Linked DNA regions of Caenorhabditis elegans. The protein of the gene in region 2 purifies or fractionates together with the protein of the main gene of each other region. This does not show direct contact. Each region holds a gene or a part of one and is shown on either strand. Other genes may lie near its edges.

Region 1 (4,961 bases), on a different chromosome or scaffold from region 2:
GTGGGAAAGTTTGAAATGAAAACTGAACTTTTGTTATGGGCTCATTCACGTTTTAATGTCGAAATACAATTTATGGTGTAATAAACTGTATTACAGTGATTTTCGTGAAGAACCTTATTTTTGCCTTTCAATAAATGTCATGCAACTTTTTTTTAGCAACAGTAGTTGCAAGTTTAACAACATACATGTATGGTCTTTGTTGAACTTGAAGAGTACGGTTTTTCGTAACTGTATCTTGCTATCAGTGTAACATTAACCAGCTCATTCACAGAATATGAATAAGCCGGTAGTTTGAGCCCGTCATCATACATTTTGCCTTCCCCATTCAATTTCCACTCGTACTGAAAAAAATAATGTCATTTTTTAAAGCTTATGTATTGAAACACCTGAACATCTTTTGGGGACGTTTTGGAGCTGCATTGCTTAAAAGTAGGGTTTGCACGGAGACGAAGACCGAATGAAGCAGGGGTTTCTTGTTCAACGCCTAGAATAATTTGAGTTTACTCAACATTTTAAAAAGTATCAAGTACCATCAATAGAAACTGAAAACACTGATGCATCATCAACAAGTGCGGTATAGATTGGTCCACTTGAAGTGCATTTTTCCGCTACATTACACCCGGTGACCAGTATCACATTGTTTGTTGATAGCTTCAAAAATAAAATAAATCAAGTTTTATTTTTATATCTTACATGATGACTGGGGATTTCCAGAAGTCTTTCTGTTGCGGCTTTTGCAATGGTTTCCATATCCAAGGTACCTTAATTTATGAAGTTGATTGATATTACATTATAAAAAAATCCAACCATTCAAAATAGTCCACTGAAAACTCAAAGGCATGAAGCCGTTCCCTGAAATCTGTTTTACTTCGAACGTTGTTGAATTAGAACATGTAGCCACTTCTTTTTCATGGGAAACTGTAAAGTTTGGATACACCTGCAACTGTGCGCCTTTCAATTTTATTTGCCCTTCAATGAGAATTTACCGCATTTTTTGGACTTTTGAGAAATGCTGATCGAGGTGAGAATTTTGTTTTCACTTCTTGTAGTATGCCGATCTTTGGATTGGCACCAAATTTAATGGCGACATTTGCCCCATCTCCCAGACAAATAGGGTTTTCTGAATAATATGTACTTTATGAATGATTTGGTGGAAAAACTAGTTACCTCCGAGAATGGAAGAGTTTTCCATCAAAACCTCACAATTCATAATGCCCATTGGAAATTCAATTGAATCATTAACCTTTTGAATGTTTATACCAAGTAAATCATCAGACAACTCGGCAGTAAAATCTTCAACTTTATCAATGTGAATTTCCAAATTGCTGTATTAAAAAATAGTTATAATTTTTAATATAAGTTAGTTGTACCTGTTGTTGACATTTGGGCAGAATCTAACCAACAATGTTGGGATAGGCAACACGAGGCATTCCTAAATTGAAGAATTAAAAAATATATTTGATCTTTGTCAATCTCACACTAGAGCAAGGTGATGAAGAAAAATAGGACATTCCTCGTATACTTGCCCTACTGGTATCATCCCAAACAAACGGAATAATTGAAATCCCACTTTTTGAACAGTTTATGGAAGCGGAGCCATTAACAGAAAAAAAGAAATTGTAGTTGGGTGGTACTACCAAAAACTGAAAATGCCACTGTTAGAAAGAATTGAGGTATTAAAAGACGATTTAAAATTATTTTTTATAAATGTAGTTTAATAATTCAACCGATCAATGTTGTTACTGGAACTTTCTACTATAATAAATCCGCAAATTTGATGGGGATCTAAACTCATCATTGATAATAGTCCTAAGATTCTAAATTCAATTTATCCAGGATATTTGATACAACACGCTCTTGTATATTTCTGCTTTATCATATGACGCATCAACTTGGCTTTAAAAAGTTATCTAAATATTGGGCTCTGAAAAAGTAATCACTATTCCAATGGAAATAATTTTACTAAACTATTATCGTTTCTTCATTGTTGTTGTGTAAAACAGCACAAAAATGTGTTTACTATAAGTATTGTGACCGATGGATTAGCATCGACACGTGCATAATTGATTTGAACTATTATAATGTTTATTCTATTGTTGATGTTTTTACTATAACAATAAGCATGTACTTTACCTAAAAAACCTAACATGTATAAACCTGTGGCAGATATAACATGTGTTTCACATTTTTCCATATAACATAACTTTTTAATTATAACGTTCCTGGCACTGTTGTATTGATTCCCTGCATTTTCAAAAATTTTCAATTTTTTGTTTATTATTACATTCAAATTAAACGTGATATATTTAGGTTTTGTAATGTTATTTTCAAAGCCTGAAAATTCAAAAATTATCCTTACGTTTTCATTCAAAAATTTACTTCTAAAAGTGCCGGTCTCTGATACACCAGTAAGGTTTTTTTTAATGTCAAAGTCGAATATATTGGTTGCTCCCCCGACTATCAAGTGTAAGGCACTTAAATACAGAATCAATTTTCTCACTACCAATACACCTTCAATTTCACACCCTTTGCATAATCGAAATAAAAGACAAGAGCAGTTGGTCTTTCACAAGGTCTTTGACGCATTTTGAACATACACACACGGCGACACGAAACGCGCCATTACATTACAACCATATGGTTCCTATTCCCATCTTTCAATACGTTTTTTTTTCGTTTTTTGTTCTCATATATTTTATATGGTTCTATGTGGTAACAAGAAGACCATTCGGAGACACCTTCAAAATGAAGATGAATGAGACATGACCAATACTTACCCGTTTTGCGTCATCAGCATAATTTTGAATGTCGACGCAATGAACTGTCGCATTAGGAAACGGATTGTCATATCCATCTGGATCGTCTATTTCAATTGGATGCTCACTTGTCTCATCAGGAGCTATTTTCCATTGAACGTCAGTGCGTGTGCCTGCGTTGACCACCTGAATGCAAATTGAATTGCGTGTTCGTCAATTATTCAGAATTTTCGAAAAGGAAGCTAACCAATGCGGCAAGTGTCCAACTATGATTGAATGCCAAATGACTTAGAAGCTCACTGAGCACAACACGAGTTGATGTTGTTCCTGCGTTGTCTTTTAGAGTTGGCACATTATCGCTGGTTAGTTGAACAGTGTCCACAAATTCAAAATAAGCTTTTTCAAACCGAATACAGCTTGTTCCAGATGAATAGCATTGATTGAGAATCTTACATTCGCAGAATCCAAGAATTAGGAACAGTAATAACAAATACTTCAATAGGCGCTCTTCTATCATTCAGAAAAATTACATGGCAACCGAAGCCAAAAAAGAAAGCTCGAAAAGTATTAGTGCACGAGGCAAAAAAGTTTTACGTATTCTGATTGAAAAAACGCGCAGCTTTATTTTGTCTCTATGGAAACCCGTTATTTTCAATTTAAGGCTTCGTTTCCTTCTTCTTGTTATTTCATTGTCCATGTGAGATTTCTCATGATCATTTTTCTTTCGTTATTTGTTTATTTATATTGTTTTGGAACATTAATGTAATATTTTTATATTTATAAATTTGAATACATAAAATATGTGAGCATCTCAAATTGTTACAGAAGATGTTATTGGAAAGAAAAAGGTAAACGGATAAAACAAGAAAAAGTACAAATTTCAAGAGGCAAGTTTTGAAACAAAAAACTCTAGCAGATAAGTGCCATCAGAAACCAGAGAAACCGCGTGAGAGTGTTGAGGGATTTTGGAAATTAGGTGGAAATTTCTAGAATAGGATAATATGAGCACATTATAGTAACAAGGGAGTATAGTATAAATTGAGTCAAAGATACATGCATCCCTACCCCTAAGTGGGTCTACAAAAGATTATATTCAAATATTTGGCACCATGGAGTCAGATCAGTTTATATTATCAAATTATCACGAGTAGAACAGAGAGTAATGACCTTTACGAAAGGAAGGCGGGGGGGGGGAGGGTTTGAAAAAAATGGGAGTGGGAAAAAAACAAATTGAAAGGTATGGCAGATTGGAATGAAGTCTGAGAACAGAATCATAAAAATGATTTGAAAGGTGATTGAGTGATAGAAGATTTTGAACAAATGACAGTAGAGATTACGCGTAAAATTCTTTTGTCGATGCTTTGGTATAACCATACGAGGCATATGGTCTTGCTTGCTTGGGTTCATCCAATGCGTATGACCCTTCATCTTTTTTCCTGATTCGAAAGACTACAAAGAGCACGAGTAGAATGGCTGTAATCACCGCAACGAGAACACCTCCGGCAATAGCTGAAAATATCAAATTAAATCAAATTAAAATAGATAATTCTACAACTTTAAATCTTTTCGTTACTAAAAAATAAATAAGCTTTGTGCTTTATTCCAAACATATTTTTATGATCTCAACCCGTAAGGACAACATATAATATCAGTAATGCGATGCATGTAAGAAATATTGCATTGTCCTAAATTGAACTTTCTTGGTAGTGAATAATTTCAATAAGAGTTTAATTTTGTAACTAAGTGAAAAAAAATTTTAGTTTTCCTTTCCAACTCACTAAATCCTTTCAAAACCGTCATCTTCTCTCAAAACCTTTCATTCAAAAGGTTCCCCTTTTCCTCACAGACACTTCCTCCACTCAGTGTCATAAAATCAAATATGCACAAAATGCGACCCTTGACCTTGCCTTCCTTCTTTCTTCAGCGGCTTCCGTCCCACCATCCCGAACCTCAGGCCCTTTTTCTCAAGAGAATAGAGCTGGGGCTCCTTTGTTAGATGTGGGATGCTGCTCAGATTTTGATAACCACAAAAGAAGAAAGCATAGCAAGTTTTGAGAAGAGATGTCAACTTTACTGAACAATTCGTCTTTCCCCACATTTTGAGACACGCGTCATAAGGGGTCTATGTTTTCTTTAAAAACCCATTTCAAGGCATCTGTACTTCCTCACAAAAGGCAGTAAACACAAAAAAGTTTGTTCAAAGCA
Region 2 (4,389 bases):
CAGAGCATGCAGAAAATATGTGCCATGTCGCGTTGGGAATGATGTGGGAAGCCCGTTCTGTGATGGACCCTGTAAACAAGACCCCGTTTCTGCTTCGAATTGGACTTCATTCTGGAACTATTATTGCCGGAGTAGTTGGCACTAAAATGCCACGTTATTGTCTATTCGGAGAGACTGTAACTTTAGCGTCTCAAATGGAATCTCTCGGTGTTGCTGGTAAGATACAATGTAGTAGCTGGACGTATTCAAAAGCCATGGAAACTGGAAGATTTGAATTTAGTCCTCGAGGTAGAATAAATGTAAAAGGACGAGGAGATGTGGAGACATATTTTTTGATGAGAAGCTTGAAAAAGAGCATTTGGGAGATTACAGATCATGAAAGAGGTGCGGTTGTAGTTGTACGAATAAGTGAAATAATCATTTGTGATTTTCAGATGTCAACGTGAACAGCATCGAGGGTTATGAAGAATTAGAGATTTTCATTGAAAATGCACAAACTGTTAAGCATGACGGACACCCGAAAGCAAATCAGAATCATTCGGCAACATGCACAATTGCATAAATTCAATTTTGTATATTATTTTTCAATTTTTTAATACTATCCCAACCAACAGAACAATTTATTCAAGTCATCAGAACAAACTAATAAATATCATTTATTTTTCATCTGATCATTGATCTTCCTATCCACTCAGAAAGTCAAGTTGGAAACATCAACATCCGCATAATAACAATCACGTTCAATTCCCATATTGTACTGATCTCCTTGTCCATCCTTGAACTTTGAAGTGACCACACGGAACCATCCGAGCTCTCCCCAAGCTTCTCCCCAACTGTTTCTGGCGATCCAGTACTCAACTCCGTTCTCATCAACTCCCCATCCAGTGAGTGAAATGATATGATTGGATTCGAGATCACTCTTCTCTGAGTAGACTCCTTTCACATATTCATACTCGAATTTCTTTGTTGCTCCAATGGCACATGCAATTGGTCCTCCTTTCTTGATTTCAGACATGATTTTGTCACGTCCCTGGACCTGTCCGTAATCCTTAACGTAATAACGAGTGTAGTTGGTAAGGGAGAAGCACTCGTTTGGCCAGCAAGATCCACAGCGATGGTATGGGTTACATTCTGGAATTTCAAATATTGTTTTATTTATTTGAGCATTGTTAGAATGAAAAATTAAAACAACTTTTTTGAAAAAATAAAAAAAAATAAAACTGCCAAGATTAATGTCTACATCTACATCCAACTAAAATTTCTCACCTCCATTTGTGGCTCTGTAGACATTGCATCCTTCCTCCACAAGTCCTTGGATCTTAGCGTGCTCTAGCACATTTCCGATTTCTCCACCTTGACAATTTCCCTTTCCATTGCAGTCAATAATTTCCTGTGGCGACAATTGAGTCATTGGCCATCTTCCCTTGCGAGCAACGTTGAAACGATCGTTGAGAGCTCCTGAAATAATATGAAAACTACTTCACGAAGACACCTATTTTATCTCACCAGTTGTTCCGAACACCCAGCAAGATCCACAATAGACTGGAATATGTTGGTTTCTTGTTGGAGAGCAATAGTTGACTCCACTAACATTTCTCCAGTCCCAACCAGTTGGAAGGTCGTTTGACTTGAAGCTACTAGATTCCCATTCTCTTGGTGCAGTCTTTGATTCGAAAACTTTTCCAGATTTCTTCAAACATCCACATTTGAGGTATGGACGAGCTTCTTCCCATTCTTCTGAAGACTCTTCTGACTCTGAGCTCATATCCACAAGAGCTTCATCATTAGGCTGAAAACGCATGTGTGGTTACATTTAAAGTTCACATTGCTAACCTCATAATATCCCTTTTCCAGCTTGGCCTTGATCATTGGCGACAAGTCGATTTTTCTCTCTTTTCTCGAGTCCAAAATTTCGACAACGTGTTCATCAAAATCCGCTGGATAAACAATTTCTTCTCTAATTTTTTGGTTGTTTTTAGCTATATTTGGATATCTCACAACAGGCTTATTTACCTTTTTGTTCAGTTCAAATGGGGAATCGAGATGAAAACCCTGTCAAAATTGATTTTTACTAAAAATTATTCCAGTGATATACCTACCTTTTTGTACAATAAATCATCGTCATTAACAACTCGTGCCAATGGGGTATCTTCCTCACTACTATCTTCCATATCATCAACCATCTCTTCAACGACATTGTTGACCTCAATCTTCATATCATATTCTTCACCTCCGAGTTCTTCTGGAGCTGGGAGCTTGTCCATTCCAGTAAATTCTCTGGTGAGACGAATGGCAGCACGTGGAAGATTGAACAAGTTGGCCTGAAACCAATAATTTTACAATTAGATCCAAAAAGTATTTTACTCTTTTACCTGACATGTTCCTATAACAAACAAGAATCCAATCAATTTCAAATTCATTTTTCACCAGCCACCGATTGAGTAGGAGAAGAAAAATAGACAAGACAAGCTGAATCGAGCCAAGCAAATTTTCTTATCTCTGTCATCACTGGCGCTGATGGTGAGAGCACTGATAAGATTGTTAATAGTACTGCAGTTGAAGAGACCTTCCACCATATTTGATCTTCCAGAAATTCATGAACAAAGTGGAAAAGTAGGTAAAAATGAAATTATTTTTGAGAGCCGATTCAAATTTTTAATGACAAAAGTTGGGAAATGTAATTTGGATTTTTAAATATTTTTTGAACGGATGAATTCTGAATAAAATACTAATATTTTTGTCAATCAATCTTTTTTGGGAAAGTTATTTTTCTTTTTGGTAAAAGTAAAAAATTCTCTAATTTTGTCCATCTTGCTCCAATTTATCGAAGCGTATGCCCAGAAGCTGAAAACTTGGTTCAAAGATGGGCCTGTAAGACTTTTATGAAATCCAAAATAAACACATCTCAAGTTTTTGATTTTCTTTGCAAATTTATTACCCGAGGTTTTCGAGCAAAAGTGGAGCGGTAGCTCCAATAGGAGAGTGAGTCGACGATTATAAACTAAAATATTTTTAATTTGCACGATAACTAACAAAGAAAGCTGCTTACTATAGTTCCTTATTAGTACTGTGAAATATTTTCAACAAATTATATTCATTCTCCATATACTAAATTGCATTCCTTCAATAACATGTTCAAAGTCCCAATTATATATCACGATGTTGTTTGATGGAAACGACTTTTTGAAAAGGTAACATTCCAAAATCACTCCCTCTTACCAGATAACCGCAACCTATCGGGTAGATCAAAAACCGCGTGCGCACCATTCCCGCACCAACCGGTTTCCAAATTCAGTTCCGCGGGTTTTGACCTCGAGTATATGGCGTGTGGATGTATGTGTGTATGGGGCACGTACCTCTGACATACACAGTATTAATTAGTTTCGCAACTTTTTTGGGCGAAACGCGACCGGCAGAAGTTAAAGTTGAAGAGAGGAGAGACTGATCTGTCCTCGAGAACCAGTTTCTCCATCATCGTCGTCGATATGGCCGAATCAAACTCAACCCCGATGCCGACTGACGATCGGGGTCGACACGACATCAACGTGGCAACATCGTCAACATCTCCATCCGAATATATCAACAGCGGCATCGTCTGTGTACAAGTTCTCAACTGGAATGAGCCTGTTTCAGTGGATCACACCATCGGTAAGTACAGCAATTACAGTGGTCGAGGGACGACCTGAAAACCTGAATTCTGATTTCGAAACAAGAACCTGAAAAAATAATACTATTCCTCGTGCGACGCCTCTTCTACAAATTTTCCACAAAATCTTTTAAATTTATTTTGCTAGCAGTGATTTTTAAAACTCCAGCTCATTGATATTCCATTTAAAAAGAGAGATGAAATAATTGACAATGTAAATTCAAAATGTCACCCGGGTCAAACCGGTCCGATCCGATTACTGAAAATATGTGTGTATCTCTCTTTTTCAATGATAGAGTATGCTCTTATATTTTCAGAAATGTCCTTTGATTTTTATTGTCATCGCCAGATTTTTTGAACCTTTGAATTCAAACTGAAACTTGATATGATGAGAATGGAATAATTATCGTGTTGTCTGAGGATCTTTCTTAAAAAATGTGAACTTTCATTTTAAGAGATCGAAGTTGAGAACAATTTTCGGAAGAAAAATTCGAGCAATTTTTTTGTGAATCTAATGGTTCCACAGAATGTGTAAAGTCTCTATTTCATATATCCAAGAAAACTGAATTAAATGTTTTCTGTACTTCAAGATCTTCAGTCGAAAATCCGAAACTAATCGACAGCTCACACAAGAATTGAAACTTTCCCAGCGTACAAAACCGATTTTGGAAGTTTTTCATATTTTATTCAAGAAGATGGAACCCTGTGATAAACTGAAATAACGTTAACATTGTTTCGTGAGA

What was found.
Region 1: the proteins of cpz-2 (region 2) and F57C7.4 fractionate together in Caenorhabditis elegans (co-fractionation; one large-scale study listed by BioGRID). This does not show direct contact.

The regions. Positions count from the first base shown.
Region 1 is NC_003284.9:10,586,266-10,591,226, forward strand, and holds the start of F57C7.4 (PKD/REJ-like domain-containing protein), read right to left. Parts: upstream 3,301-4,961; 5' UTR 3,274-3,300; coding exon 3,004-3,273; intron 2,943-3,003; coding exon 2,778-2,942; intron 1,644-2,777; coding exon 1,479-1,643; intron 1,433-1,478; coding exon 1,371-1,432; intron 1,326-1,370; coding exon 1,168-1,325; intron 1,121-1,167; coding exon 987-1,120; intron 938-986; coding exon 808-937; intron 762-807; coding exon 694-761; intron 652-693; coding exon 531-651; intron 485-530; coding exon 387-484; intron 342-386; coding exon 186-341; intron 1-185. Other genes in the region: sdn-1 (putative syndecan), read right to left, coding at 4,090-4,265.
Region 2 is NC_003283.11:13,379,295-13,383,683, reverse strand, and holds cpz-2 (cathepsin X), read right to left. Parts: upstream 2,496-4,389; 5' UTR 2,421-2,495; coding exon 2,373-2,420; intron 2,322-2,372; coding exon 2,100-2,321; intron 2,053-2,099; coding exon 1,834-2,052; intron 1,790-1,833; coding exon 1,507-1,789; intron 1,459-1,506; coding exon 1,267-1,458; intron 1,132-1,266; coding exon 692-1,131; 3' UTR 607-691; downstream 1-606. Other genes in the region: Soluble guanylate cyclase gcy-34, read left to right, coding at 1-384, 435-562.